Oryzias latipes: one gene and its partner. The protein of the gene in region 1 purifies or fractionates together with the protein of each later gene. This does not show direct contact. Links are inferred from orthologs where the notes say so. Each region holds a gene or a part of one and is shown on either strand. Other genes may lie near its edges. The genes, in order: naa30 and naa38.

Region 1 (7,311 bases):
TGCATTTTAGACATTAAGTCATGGATGGCAGAAAACTTCCTGCAGGTTAACCAGGACAAAACAGAGGTTTTAGTGATCGGTTCTGAAGACAAGAGAGAGATTGTTTTATCTAAACTAAAGACTTACAAAACTTTTCAGTGTGTGAGAAACCTGGGTGTTATTTTTGACTCAGAGATGAACTCAAGATTGATTTTGAAGTTCTTTTATTGGTTTATAAATGTTTTTATGGTCTCGGGCCTTCATATTTATCTAAAGTATGAGCCCTCACGGACCCCGAGGTCCTCTGATACCGGCCTTTTGGTTATCCCAAAAGTTAAACTAAAACATACGGCGAGGCCTCATTCAGTTTTTATGGACCTCGCCTGTGGAACAGCCTCCCAGAGAGCCTCAGGGCCGCAGAGACTGTTAATGTTTTTAAAAGGAGGGCTTAAGACTTACCTTTTTACTCTAGCTTTTAGTTGAATTTTATGAATTTATTTGATATTTTCATTATTTATTTTCTCCTTTTACTAGTTTTATATGTGTATGTATAAACATTTATTTATTTATTTGTATTTATTTATTTTTAATTTTTTTGTCACACTTACCATTTTATGTGTCTATTTAGGTGTTATGTAATTATTTGTTTCTTGTTCATCTTTTAAATATATCTTCATTTGATTCCTTTTATATTTTAGTGTTTTCCTCAGCGATCCTCCACATCAGTGACTGACCTTCTCAGTGAACGGGGTCGCTGCAGTGGGATCTCCCGGGTCTGACTCTTTCGATCGGATCTGGGGGGTTCTGCGGTAGTGGACTCCATGAACTTGGGTGGGGGGGTCACTGATGTGGACATGTCCCCAAAATATCGTTTCCCCATTTCAGGACAAAGCCAGGTCTCTACATTGCATCATTTTATCACTCTTTTTATCATGGTGTGTGTGTGTGTATGTCTGTGTGAGTGTGTGTGTGTGTGGGTGTGTCTGCGTGTGTGTGTGTGTGTGTGTGTGGGGGGGGGTTGGTTGGCATTGTTTGTCTTGTCATTTTGTTTTTAAAGTTTGATTATATTCTATGCAAAGCACTTTGAGTGACATGTGTTGAAAAAGTGCTATATTAATAAAGGTTGATTTGATTTGATAGTTTTTAAATAAAGCTCCTCTTGAAAGTCTGCCACAAAGGCAGAGCTTACCGATGCTTTTCCTTCTGTGCTTGGAGTCCACAGCCAGCATGGCGATGTAGCCGCGGCGAAACATCTTCTTATGCATGTCCAGTTTACAAACGATGGCTCCCACACACTCCTGCTCCACCATGGCCTGAGGACACACAAACATGCTGCCTTCAGGTCCTTCTAGCCCTGCGTGAAGGTTGAAGATCGGTCCGCTGCTAGCTAGCAGCACTTCTACAAAAAGTAGAGGCTGAAGTCTGCTATAACCCTTGTGCTATCCTAGGCACTTTACCATTGGGAGTTGGGTCATCTAGACCCACTAGACAGTGCTCTGAACCTTTTTTCTTCAATGATTTGTGATCCTCACTGGTGTCCAGAGATTACATGAAATCTTTCCACCTTTATCATGGTAGGGAGAACATGTCAATGTAAGGGTGGGGTCATCTAAGATAGCACAAGGGTCAAAGGTGAGGGATGCTTTGTAAAGTACACACATTCATATCTAAGAAAAACAAAACAAAAAAGATATTTTTTAGCTTTTTAACACTGGGGAAAGTCGCCGGCAACACCTGAATAACACACACTCTCTGACATAACGTTAACTCCTCAACCATTTACTCCATCAGTGCGACTCAGCCGCAGAAAAAAGGGGCTTTGTACAGACATGCAATACTTTACGACAGTAAACGTAATGTTTTGGCGCAGAGCTACTTTTCTCTGCCACAGAATCCACTGGAATGACGTTAATTGCAAAACCAGCTGAAGAGTTGCATGGAAAGACCGTCAACACTGGAGCTAGCGAGGGTTAAATAAAGCTGGAGGAAAATGCTGGGATCCACACACACACATCCCACTGCCTGTATATGAGAGCTGGACCGTCACTAGGGCTGCACGACACGAGGAAAACCCGCCATGTCCGATATTAGTGATCATCATTGCAAAGACTATATCACTTGCGATACATGAAAAGCTAAATAACTGATGCATCATTTCCAATTTGCTGTAACATTTTGTTTGAATCAAACTCACCATAACTTCAATTATTCTCCAAATGACCCACATAGGAAAGCGGCTTGTAGGTAACCATTTATGTCGTCTTTTGTTATAGGCGCATTGAGCTTACTGATGACTGAGACTGACCTGTTTATTTCTCTATAGAAGTCTATGAGATTTTGGCTTCTTGGAGTCAGCCGGAACTTCCTGTTTGGAACACCGGGGGGGGGGGGGGGGGGGGGGGGGGGGGGGTCACTCAGTCCAGTTCTTATATACAGACAATGGTTTGTACATCATTTCTATTGACTTCAATCCTATATGACTGTTGTTAGAAGACACTTTGATCCTGAATTTAAGACAACAAAAACCAACAAAGTTATTTGTTAAAAGGGACAAAACAAAGACAACCTCTGAGTCCTTTTAACACCATACCATATGAATAAAAACCTTTGAATGTTGTCAAAATGTGTTTACATTTAGATCAAGTTCATTTGAAAAACTTTATTTAAAACGCATCATACAACAGCAGAGATCTTTTCTGCTGCTTTTAAAACGGTGTGGAAAGAAAGCAACAACAAAAAATGGCCAAAAATGATCAATACCATATTTGATCAATTTTTAATGTTTAATAACAGTTGACAATAGTTTTACAGTTATCCCAGAAAGGGCATTAGTCAAAGAAAAAGTCTAGATCCCCTGTTTATCACTCACTGTGACTATTGTCTAGATGTATTTTTGCTTTTGTAACATTTTGAAGTGAAAGAGTTGTAGTAAATTAAGAGTTTTAGGGAGAACTCTAGCTGGTTGCTATAGTTTCATCAAATTAGGTAACTACCATTGTCAGATTATAGGCGTTTGTGCTGGGCACGTGACCATTTCAATCATCTGGAGCAAACAGATCATAACCAGACTTTCCAGGTGAGTGTTTGTAGTGGTCATGTGACCTGTGGCACGTGGGCAGCAGGCTGGTTTGGAGGTGTTTTTGGGTGGAGGGGGATCGGAGTTGGACTCACCAGAAAGCAGAGCTGCGGCCAGTTGTGGATGAAGTACCTGTAGGTGTAAATGGAGTAAGGCTCGGACAAGTCCTTCGTGATCAGTCTCATGATCCACGGCATCTGCAGCTCCGATTCGTAGCGCACGTAGCGGATGCCGTGGCTGTCCGGCCCGGGAGAGCCACTCAGGTCAAGCCGGGCTAGCTCGGCGGCGGGCGGATCCGAGGAGCTCTCCTCTCCGCCGGGCCCGGCAGCGTCCGGGGACTCGTGGCCTGGCGGTCTGGAGGGCTGCTTGTGTTTGTCGGCTCCGCGGGCCGCCTCGGACCTCGAGAAGTCCGGCATGCCGTTAAGGTGAGCGCCGTTCTCGGACACGGGGCCTTCGCGCTCCGCCGGCGCTCCATCGCCGCTGTCAGTGTCAGCGGGAGACCTCAGACTCTCGGGCCGGACGTCGGGCTCCTCGGAGGGGCTGACCACGCCGTTCAGCTGCTGCTCTCCGCTCTGAGGCTTGAGGTGCAGCACCGCCGGGCTAGTTTGAGTTAGCATACCTTTCTGCTTCCTCTTTACCGAGCGTTTAACGTCGTTCAACGGATGAGACTCGTCCCTCGTGCCGGCAGACACGCAGTCATTCGCGAGGCAGGGCGGCTGTCCGTCTTCCACCACCGGCTGCGCGCTTCTGTCCCCGGAGAAGGGATGACTGTCAGCCGGGGACGCAAGCAGAGCTTCACTAGGCCCGGGCGGCACTGTGGCCATCCCACTGCGTTAGAGCGGAGATCCACGCGGTGGACACGGGCTCATCAACGAAACCGAGCGGAACACCGGCAGTCGATTCGAAGTTCGGAGATTTTTTCCCGAATCCTCGGAGTCTGGAGCCAAAAGGTCCTCCGGTGAACACCACGGCTCTCTGCTGTCTGCTGCTCTACCTGCTGCCGTAAAGTGCCTGTCGCACCCAAAGGACGTTTTGCGACAGTGAGCTGCCATGACAGTTGTAGTTTTAGGAACAAGTGAAAATGTAGGTTAGAAATTGTGTAAAACACTAGTATATGCACAAAATTACAACCCATCAAGCACAAATAAAATATTTTGCTGACAAAAAATAAATAAACAATGAAACTAAAATAAATGGGGGGAAATATTTGACCTAAACCGCGTGCAACAACTCTACTATTCAGTTTCTATTTAACAATTTCATGCATTTCAAGACCTATTTAGTTTGGTGTCAAAAATGCAACACAACGACCGAGAAACAAGAGAAAAAAAGGTATTGAATCAGCACAAACCCATGAACACGCAGCAATACCCAGTTTGAGAACCCAAACAAAATCTAAGCTTTGTAAATTCATCCTTTTACCTGTAACAGTATTAGAAAATGATTCCTGCAGGAACTGTTTTACTTCTATGGTAAGCCCAACCTGACTTCCCATAATCCCTTTGTTTACACTCTCTCCTGCTAGCTCACAGCCCCTTACAACCCCAAGCTAACATTACCATTGAAAAAAAGATGGCGAGCAATATAAGAGCTTTCCAGCCGTACAGTTTTGAGCCAGATACCAGGTTGGACGAGGAAAACAAAGAAAACGGGGTACGTCACAGCTACAGGCTTTTTTTTAACGATTTTTTTGATTCATCACAATTTGAATAAAGAAATACTCAGAAAAGTAGTTTTAATCTTAATTTCCTGTTTATTTGTCCTCTATCATCAGAAAAAATGCCACAAGAACATGTTAAACAAACCAAAAAAACACGCGTTTCATTGCAGCAAGTCTTTAAAGGAAGATTAAATGATCCATGATAAAAACACAAAATTTAATATAAATCAGAGTGCAGTGTTTTAAATGGAAGTGGAAATCTATCAAAATATATAGTTTTTGGTTGCAGAAGGGTCAATAAACAAGACAGCAGTGGATGCAGTTTGTTTTTCCAGATAGAGTTTTTAATTATTTGCGGTGAGGTTTGAAGTGGGAGGTTTGGCTATGTTTTATTACTCAAAAGAGACTTGAGCTTATCATCTAGCCACCTTCCAAACCCACTTAACCCTCTAACATCAAAGCTTTTGCTCCAATGTTGATGTTTTTTCGACTACCGTTACTGTCCGACCTATTACCCAAATAACATAATTCCAGTGGATCCTGTCGGGAGAAAAGCGCGGTTATGCAACATTAAAGTAGGGTACACCCGGGATGGTCCGTCGGCTCATTGCAGACCCCAGAGCTTATTGTGGGTGGCATAACGCCCCAAACTATTTGTGCTACCTAATAGTTACCGGAGAGAAAGAAGAAAAATAATCAGCTTCCCACACATACATGGGAGTTTTGCAGAAATGGCTCCTGGGGGATAAGGTGGAGATCATAAGAACAGCTATCTATCAAAACAAAAATAATTGGATTGATGTCAGTAATACAACTTTAAAAGCAACGTTAGCTTACATCCAGTAATTTATCTTAAGCCTGTCTGAGATGAACCAACCTAATGTTGGCAACACAATGGAGCACAGGACCAGTCATGCAGCTAATGTGTTTCTTTGAACAACCTAAAACCTGTTTCCTTCTGCTGTTGATATTTTGGCCTAAAGGCCTGTTCACACCGGGACGAATTTCGCCGGCGATTTTCGCCGACGTTTAACGCCTCGTGACTAAACAAAGGGCACCAACGAGAGTGTGCACACCGACGCGAAAAAACGCCAGGCGTTAAAGCGTCAAAAAAAAAAAAACGCCTCGGGTTCGTTTTTTTTTTTTCGACGCGTCGCGTCGAAATCTACTCGACCAATGAGAACGGCGCTTTTGCTCACGTGTCTGGAGCTTCTGAAGTTACAGTAAAACACAACTTGGGGGCGCTCAAACACAAAACTGCCTTGCTGAGCACACATACCAGCGAAGAAGATAGACGCCAAGTAGCGTCTACACTGCCGCGAAGAAATAATGACGGACATTCTAAAATATCCCCGAACCAAGCACCAGTTGGAGCTACTGGTGCTTGAAATATTCATGTTTTCTTTGTTTGATTCTGACAAGCGTGTAAATACTTGCTCTCTTCTTCTGAGTGAAAAGCGACTTTCAGAAGCGTAAAGTTGCGCAGCGCCACCTTGTGTACAGGAGTATTTCTGTTTTACATTAAGCGCCATCTAATGTCAGGGAATGAAATTGCATGTTCACTCCACTCATCGTCAGCGAAAATCGCCTGGGTGTGAACACAAAAAACGTGGCGAAAAACGCTGGCGAATAACGCCTGGCGAATATTCGTCCCGGTGTGTACGGGCCTTAACAGTCAGACACAAGGAACTGTAGCCAGGCCAAACCCAGTCTGACTAATCACAGCCTGAATACTCCCACAGCAGACAATTAGCATCTTGCTTTCATGTGTAAAATGAGTGAGGCAAGAGGAGGGAGGAGTCTGTGTGAAGGAAACAGGCAGAGAAGAAAAGCCCAATTAAGAATTTGGGTGAGAAATGAACCATCTGCTGCTGAGTGATACGAGTTCTCCAGGAGAAATTAGCTCGGACTCGTAAGATAATGATTTTGGACAATCATCCTACTTTTTGTTTTAATAAAATGCCCGGATGCCTGTCCGTCAGTCCATAGAAAGACCAGATGCAGTTTGGGGCCTGTTGCGTTGTGTACTTGACTGTGTGTGCATGTGGCTTACCAAGGCTTTGAAAGCAATCAAAGCTGCTGCACACCATTTTTAAAGAGTCAGTATGATAAAATGTAAGGAAATATGGCTCCAGTAGGAAGCTTTCATTAGAGCTCAGGAAACTGATCAGAGCAGTGGATGCAGTTTATTTGTCCTAAGCAGTCTGCAGTGGCAGGAAGCCCATTTGTAGACCATCTAACCTTTAGCAGGAACTTGTTAGGGACTTTATTTCTGTCCATGACTGACAGGAATCCATGCGCAGAAAAATGACAGCAGTCATCATACGGGTCCATATCTGATTGTCAATCCTGTAATAAGAAGTCAAATGTTCCCACTTCAGGTAAACACAAAAATCTCTCTTTCCTTTCCATATTTGGGTGGAAAAAGACTAAGCAGATCCCAAACATGACATTAAAGGGAAACTTCAAATCATTTATTACAAACTGGCAAAGCTCAGGAGAAACCCCATTATTAGGAGTAAATCTGAAACATAACCTATTTCGAGTGTAGAATCTATTACTTTTTTCCTTTAAACCTCGTGAAAAATTGAGAATT
Region 2 (7,403 bases), on another chromosome or scaffold:
TTGAGGGTTGCAATAAAGACTCTTGTTCTGTTCATTTCCGGTGCAGACAGAGGGAAACCATCGTGTAAAGCACGGTGGTGGAAGGATGATGGTTTGGGTATGCTTTGCTAAGAAAGCTTGCACTCTGAGTTGATCTTAAGCGAATTAGTTAGTTCCACAATGTTCTAATCAGGTTCAGCCCACAGACCCATTCAGACGCCGCTGGTCTTTGACGGGCTGCACACAACCAAAACCACAAACGTCTCCATGAAAAGAAGACATCTGATGTGAAAAAGGGTGGACCGGAGGTGCTGCACACTGACAGAGACTGATGAAGTGAAACTACAGTCAACCACAACAGTGAAGCAGAAGACATCAATCAGTTTGGAAGTTCTTATTTTAGCCTAAATAAAGATTTGTGTCTTTTGGCTCACGTTAAGCTGGAAGTTTAGACTGATTTTAGTAAAGTATTAGCTTGATGGACGACCTTTAAATCACCTTCAGAATGCTCTAGAAGAGGAAGATGCTTCCAACTCACTGCTTTAATATGGCAGTAAAACCACTGTTCAGCATCTCTGAGCAGTTCCTACTGACCTGTAAGTTTAACCAGACACAGAGGAATTTTTTCACAAAGTTAAAAATGATTTGTAAAATCCCTCGGCTATTTTGGAAAAGTAGTTTTTAGATCCTTTATGGTGAAAAACAGATTTCTCCACAGACACTTTTTTATTTAAGTGTTGTGGAACAGAAGCCAATTTGGTCATTTTTTTCATCAGTCCATGAGTTAAATGGCAAACATCTAGATCATGAGCCTGAAACACACGGTAAGAACCTCCACCTCTGTGCTTCATAGTTGAAAAACCAAAGTGTATGTTTTATTTATTTATTTAGACTTTTTTTTTTTCCAAAAGTCGCATGGGAGTTTTTCAGATTAGGTTGTGCCTTATTTTTTTAATCCAAATTAGATGCTTTTTTAAATTCAATTTTTTGGTTAACATAACAAAAACTCAAATCAAATAAGTTTTCTTTCTACAGTGTAAAGGTCACTCTGCGTTTTATTTCACACTTTCAATATATTTATAAAAAGATTTCTTAATGTTCTTAATGGACAAAGACCTAATTTGTCCTAACCGTTGTTTTGTCATAACTACCAGGTAATTGTTTTGAGCCACCATAACCCGACCCGACCCCCCCCCCCCTAGCCAGGATTCCGACCTTGGTGGCCAATGGGCACAAAGCTCCCCTGTCACATAAAGTTAGGCTCAGCAGTGAAAACTGTGAAAGTCTGAATTAAAATTGTAGACGGAGGACTGAGAGCGAGACACGGAGCCCGTGATCTGACATGGGTAAATTCATGTGGTAAGTCACTCATAAACATGGATGTGAGCAATACTTGGATTTACAGCAGATACCTTCACATTTCTGACTGTATATATCTCAATACAAAGCATAGAAGACACAGAGGATGTTTAGAGATCCAATTTATTTATTTAAAAAAGCTCCACAAAAGCATCAATAATCCCGTTCATACACATCCCGGTACGCTCTCCCGACTGCCGCAAAAGCAGCTTTCCGCCGCTACATCTTTGTCTCTGTGACCTGCATTAATTCAAGAGGGGAAAATTAAAAACAAGAATCAAACTAGGGGATCCATTTATCACTGTTGAAAATAAGAGAAACATTGTAAGATTTAGGAGGGCCGAGCTTGTCGGCACGCCGACTTTCGGGCAGCTGGCTGGCCAGCAGGCGAAGCGTTGCTGCGGTATGTGGCGTTGCATTTTAGGGTCGAACAGGAATAATAATATCCATGACGTGCTGAGGTAACTTGTCTTTTAGTAACAGTTAGCAGTTACTTTACACCCGAAGGCTTCATGCTACTTATCCCATCATGCATCACACATATCCCATAACGCATCTCGACCAATCAACGTGTCACTGTAAGTGAGGTTGCTTTCAAATACAACAGGATAAATGTATATCTGAATTTTATTTTTTTGAGGCAAGTAATTATTATTATTTACCCATGTTAGCTCACAGGCTCCGTAGTGAGGAAAGAGAAACATAAACAGCTGTTATCGAAAAAACTGTTTTTTTTTAACGTTTAAAATTTACAATTTAGTTTTACAATGTTCAATACTTCTTACAGGTTTACAATGTGTACTTTGAGTTTAAAACTGTTGTCCAGTTATTCAATTTACAACGTCAGTTTTCTTCCAATTCACAATCTGGTTTTTTATTCATTTTAAGCTGATCCTAATTTAGCCCCATAGAAATGTTCAATCAATCAGTCAATCAATCAATCAATCAACTAATCTTTTCATTTTTTTATGTCTTCCATTGTTCCCTCCAGCGTCCCATAAAGCAACTAGTGAATCTAGTCATAAATGTAATTTTTCTGACCAAATCCCAAACTTTTCTTTATTTTTGTTTCAGGTCTGTTTATTTGTAAAATCAAGTAGTTTAAAACAAAAAGCCAAAAAGCTTGAAAATATCCCAACATAAACTTTTTAAAAATGCTAAATCTGTAAAGTTTTGTTAAATCTAGTTTTACATACCCATGTAATTTTACATATTCATTTCTACCTCTGGCACTTTATATTATTTTTATTCCTTGTTTATATGTTTGGATTAATGTCTGTTGTATATTTATATTTTTGTACGGTACCTGGCATTTATAATAACGTTTCTGGAGGGGGAAAAAATGTCAAATGCGACCTACTTCCGGTCCAGCTGGTCCGTCGGTAAATTTGTTCCGCAAGAAACAAGAAAAGGTTATGGCAACAATAATCGAGGAAAACGGTCCTTCGACTCGAGTATGTATTTGTCATGTTTTTGTGTAACGATATTTACATTTTTTTCATTACACTATTTTTTTTAAAAAAAGGAAGAAAACAAATGATAGATTAGAAAGTGATTATCGATACTTTAAGTAAGACGTTAGCCTGAAGCTAACAAAATAGCATTCTAAAAACGTGCCCTGCACAGCCATGATTATAAACAAACTAGCTACTTTGAATAAAATATGATAATTGCAATTCTTCTACAATTATTAATCGTGTTCATCGTTTTAAGATATTTTGTGATAATGTTGGCAGCAGTTCTTAGTCATTTGTGTGTGTACCTCCAGGGGCAGACCGAGGTTCCGCCTTCGTCTCAGGCCAGACAGAAGCTGGAGGGGCTCCTGAACAAGAACATGAGGATCCGCATGACGGACGGACGGACTTTGGTGGGGCTCTTCCTCTGCACGGACCGCGACTGCAACGTCATCCTCGGCTCTGCTCAGGAGTTCCTCAAATCTCCAGGTAACAAAACAAGAGGGAACCAGAGAAGACGTTATAGCTGGCCGGTTCTCCTCCACACAGAACATCGGGTTACATTTTATATTAACTGGTTATTCATCATAGTAGTAGGTTGAAAGGTTGCCATCTGGTTGGTTTTTAAAGTTGAAGACGTTTCACCTCTTATCCAAAAAGCTTAGTCAGTTCCCGAACAGAACGATGGAATCAACCCGGATGAATGAGAGTCTTCATAGACTTAACTAGTTATTACTACTCTTGTTTGTGGCTTTTCTATGTTGTTGTGGTGTCATTTGGAGATGAAATCCTCATCCCTGGTGTTTTCACAAGATGTTCAACAACGTTACATGGTTCTTCCACTAAAAAAAGTTTCAAAAACACAAACCAACATATTTAAAAAGTCTTGAAAAGGTCATAAAACCATTGACTGTATTTAGGACCTGGACTGAGTGAGTGTGATGTCATCCATAGAAAGCGCCTTACCTCCAGGTCCAACAAAATGGACTGGCGCCATTTTATTTGCGAAACGCCGCCATGTTGGAGCCATACGAGGTCAGTGAACGGTGATTTGTCCGAACCAATGGCAACCACTCTAACCAAACAGGAGTGAGCTTGTTGGAAGACCACACCCCATCCACGTGAAAGCAGGCTACACATCTGCCAAACATTTTGAACATTTGTTTTAAGACCACATGCTTTTATTGAGGCACCTGATTGGTCAGTTTATAACTTAAATAATTTGCGCTACAGAGAAAAAGATTAATAAGAACATGTTTAAAAAAAGGTAGCAGAGCAAGAATGGTAGTTCAGACTGAGTAATGGCTGTTTATTTCTCAGTTGAAGTTTATGGGAAGTTGAAGTTCAGCTTCTTGGAGCCAGCGGCTACTTCCTGTTTGGAACGTGAGGAGGGAGGGGTCACTCAGTCCAGTTCTCATATACAGTCAGATTTAGACCACCTTTAGCCACTGTACCAGGAGAAACGTTTTAGTGGAACATTCCTGAGTCGCGAAATGTTTTTTTTTTTTCTTTCTACCTTTAAAACTCGGACTCGTAGTTCTAGAGGCTGAGGTTTAAGGCGGTTTTCCCCCCTGAAAAGGAGCATTGATGCTACCATGTCCTCTTTCCTCAGACACGTTCTCTCAGGGTGAACCCAGAGTGCTGGGCCTGGCCATGATCCCCGGCCACCACGTGGTGTCCATCGAGGTGGAGGCCGACAGTCTAGAGGACGCTCACGGATTTGGAGCCATCTGCTGAGGAAGCCTGGGACATTTGCAGACTTCAACACCCATCATGCTTTGCTGCTGGACAGTTGGACCGCTGGTGTTGGTGGATCACAGAACGTTTGGATTCAGCCGTTCCCTCAAAGACTGACAGGAAGGTTCTGCCGGCTGCAGGAGTGGAGACAGACTGAGATTAAACGTCTCTGCCGGAGTGGTTTTAAAATAAAAGTTCTGTTTGAAGCTTTGGATTCCTGCAGAACCGTATGAGAAATGTGGACCATATTTAGGATTTTAAACTGATTATGATCACATTTTATTTTAGAAATTCTTTCAAAAGTGAAGCCAGCAATGTCTTCGTTTATTGCTGCCATTTTGGCTGACGTGTGACATCACAGAACTAGTCTTTTTTTCAAAATAAAAGTATATAGGCAGGACAAACAGGCTTTTTAGTTTTCAGTCAGAAGACTAACCTTTGCAATCTTTATGTTTATGAATAAAATGAAAATAAAACTTTACAGTTATGTATATTGTATCAAGTCAAACAAACGTTTTGGGAAGTGGACCAAATTTATTGGATTACTTTAAAAGCGAAGGCAGCGATGTCCGTTGCAAAACTGACATCACCAAACCCTAATCTTTTCAAAATAAAAGTACGTTTTGAATTGGTCAAAAAATCGTTCACGATTTTTAAGTTCATATGTAAAATTAGTATTTCAAAGTAAAAGTTTGAGTACATTATGGATATTGTAACCAGCAAAGAAGAGATGTTTTTTGAGCAAGACTAAATATTTTTGTTTTGAATTTATGCCTTAAACCTGAACTTCTTTTAGTTTCCTTAGTGAACTTCACCTTTTTCTAATTACTTTGGTTTTTTTAACCTGCTTCAACCCGGAAGTTGAATTTCTTCCCGTTTGTCTCAAGGGACTTCTAAAGATATAAAGATGCACATGCATGCATTAAGTTTTTCCTCTTTTTTTTTAATTAACTTTATTTAAAAAGGGACTAAACAAGAAAGAAAAACAAACGAATGAGGTAAAAGGAGTGCAAACGAATCATTTACATGTTTTATTACACTCAAAACATGTCAGCAGGTTCAGTTTGGCAACAGTAAATCGATGCCGTCAACAAATGAGACTTCATCTTTAAATACGGTCACATTAAAGTCCACACAGTAAGCCGTAGAACCAGTTCCATTTCTTAACCTGGTAAAAATAACTTAAAGTTGTGCAAACAGAAATAAAATGGAGATGGGGCGTAACATGGTTTTTCATGGCAGCACCTACAGCCGTCACGTTTTCTTTCCTCAAACTTCCGCCTTAAGTTTTCCGCCTTCGCATAAACATTCTCCGCGTCTTTGTGAAATACAGACGCCGCAGAAACTCGAGCTCCGGCTCTGCAGAACATCTGACTTGTTCTAATTATAAAGCAGTTTCTGGGATGGCAACCAAAGAGTCTTCAGGTTCTCTGAAGGACTTTTAAAAAGCTCCAACTTCTCTCCATTTGTGGACGTTTGGAGATTAAAGCCTTTGAACCTAAATATATTTGCAGCTTTTTTTTATTTTGATCATCTTTTTTTTGAAAGGCCAATGAGCTGCAGTTTAAAGCAGAAAACTGCAACGACAGAGTTCCATCCACAGGATTTCAACCTTCAGAAGTTTCACGTTTGAACCTCATCGTTTCTTTGGAAGCTCCTCAAAGTCTTTAAATAGAAAGAGGAGACTCCAAAATGTCACATTTGAGAAAAAAAGAATCCTAAGAGGCAAACCTGCCTGTAGACGATTCAAAAATGGCACAAAGTGCTTCAGTTTCCTGTAACCACCACCTTTAGGTTTCCTAGAGTCTTCCTCTGGATTCAGAGGAAGGTCCAGATTGAAGAAGAAGAAAAGTCAGAAGTTTTGAAACTGCACCAACGTAGATGAAGACGTCCTGAGGAGTCCGTCCCCAATCCACAAACCTCCTGGGGTCTAGTTGTACTCAAACTTGAAGTGGAAGCTGCCTCCAGAATCAAAGGGGTTGAAGTGGAAAGGCCACGGCCTCTGACCGCCGCCTCCGCCCTGCTGGTTCTCCGGGTCCAGAGGATCCTCGCCCGAGTCGAACTTCTGTCTCATTTCTGGAATCGGATGAAAGGAGGAACAAGAAAACATTGTATTCATAACACCGAAAACTTGTAATCAAACACGTGAAAAATGTCGAGTGACAGGCTCAGTCAAAGGCCCTCAACACCATTAGTCTAGCTTTTATTTTGACTTCAAAGACAAATACTTTTGTTGGCAAATTCTAAACCTTCATCCTGTTTCTGGTTCTTTTCAGTCGAGCTAAACTCCAGTTTCGCTTTAGTCCGGACGATTGAAAGGAAACAGAAGAGTGTGAATGACTGCTGACCGGGGTCGGTGAGGACCTCTTTGGCCGACGCGATGTCGATGAACTTCTTCTCCGCCTCCTTCTTCTCCGCCTCAGACTGGAAGTTGTCGGGGTGCCACTGCTGAGCCAGCTTCCTGTACGCTTTGATGACCTCCTGCTTGTTGGCGCTCCTGAGGACAGACGGGGATGTCAGGGAGAGTTTTTCCCTCCTGGAGGTGCCGCCGTGGGGCTTACCTGCTGACTCCGAGGATCTTGTAGTAGTCCCTCTTCTGAGAGACTTTCAGCAGCTTCTGCGCTCGCTCCAGACCCTCTTTGATGTCGTTGCTGTCGCCGTCGAACTCTCGCGCCTCCTGGTAATCCTCCACGGCTTCAGAGAAACAGAAGTGATCGTCTGAGTGATGGTGCAGAGATGGGACTCTTTTGTTTTTTCTGCTGAATTACCCTTCTCATAGTCCTGGTTGAGGATGTAGGCTTCTGCTCGGTCCCGCAGGATTTTGGCGTTGCGGGGGTCCCTCTGATGAGCCTCTGAACACACGTCGATGGCCTC

The links.
Region 2: the proteins of naa30 (region 1) and naa38 purify together in Homo sapiens (co-immunoprecipitation; 3 studies listed by BioGRID and IntAct, with this or other methods). This does not show direct contact. The link is inferred for Oryzias latipes from reciprocal best matches to the Homo sapiens genes NAA30 and NAA38.

What each region holds. Positions count from the first base shown.
Region 1 is NC_019882.2:10,204,854-10,212,164, reverse strand, and holds the start of naa30 (N-alpha-acetyltransferase 30), read right to left. Parts: upstream 4,207-7,311; 5' UTR 3,880-4,206; coding exon 3,151-3,879; intron 1,293-3,150; coding exon 1,169-1,292; intron 1-1,168. UniProt on the Homo sapiens protein: Catalytic subunit of the N-terminal acetyltransferase C (NatC) complex. Catalyzes acetylation of the N-terminal methionine residues of peptides beginning with Met-Leu-Ala and Met-Leu-Gly.
Region 2 is NC_019876.2:17,555,151-17,562,553, forward strand, and holds naa38 (N-alpha-acetyltransferase 38, NatC auxiliary subunit), read left to right. Parts: upstream 1-2,674; 5' UTR 2,675-2,687; coding exon 2,688-2,792; intron 2,793-3,106; coding exon 3,107-3,281; intron 3,282-4,404; coding exon 4,405-4,529; 3' UTR 4,530-5,020; downstream 5,021-7,403. Other genes in the region: dnaJ homolog subfamily C member 3, read right to left, coding at 6,460-6,605, 6,878-7,026, 7,091-7,223, 7,298-7,403.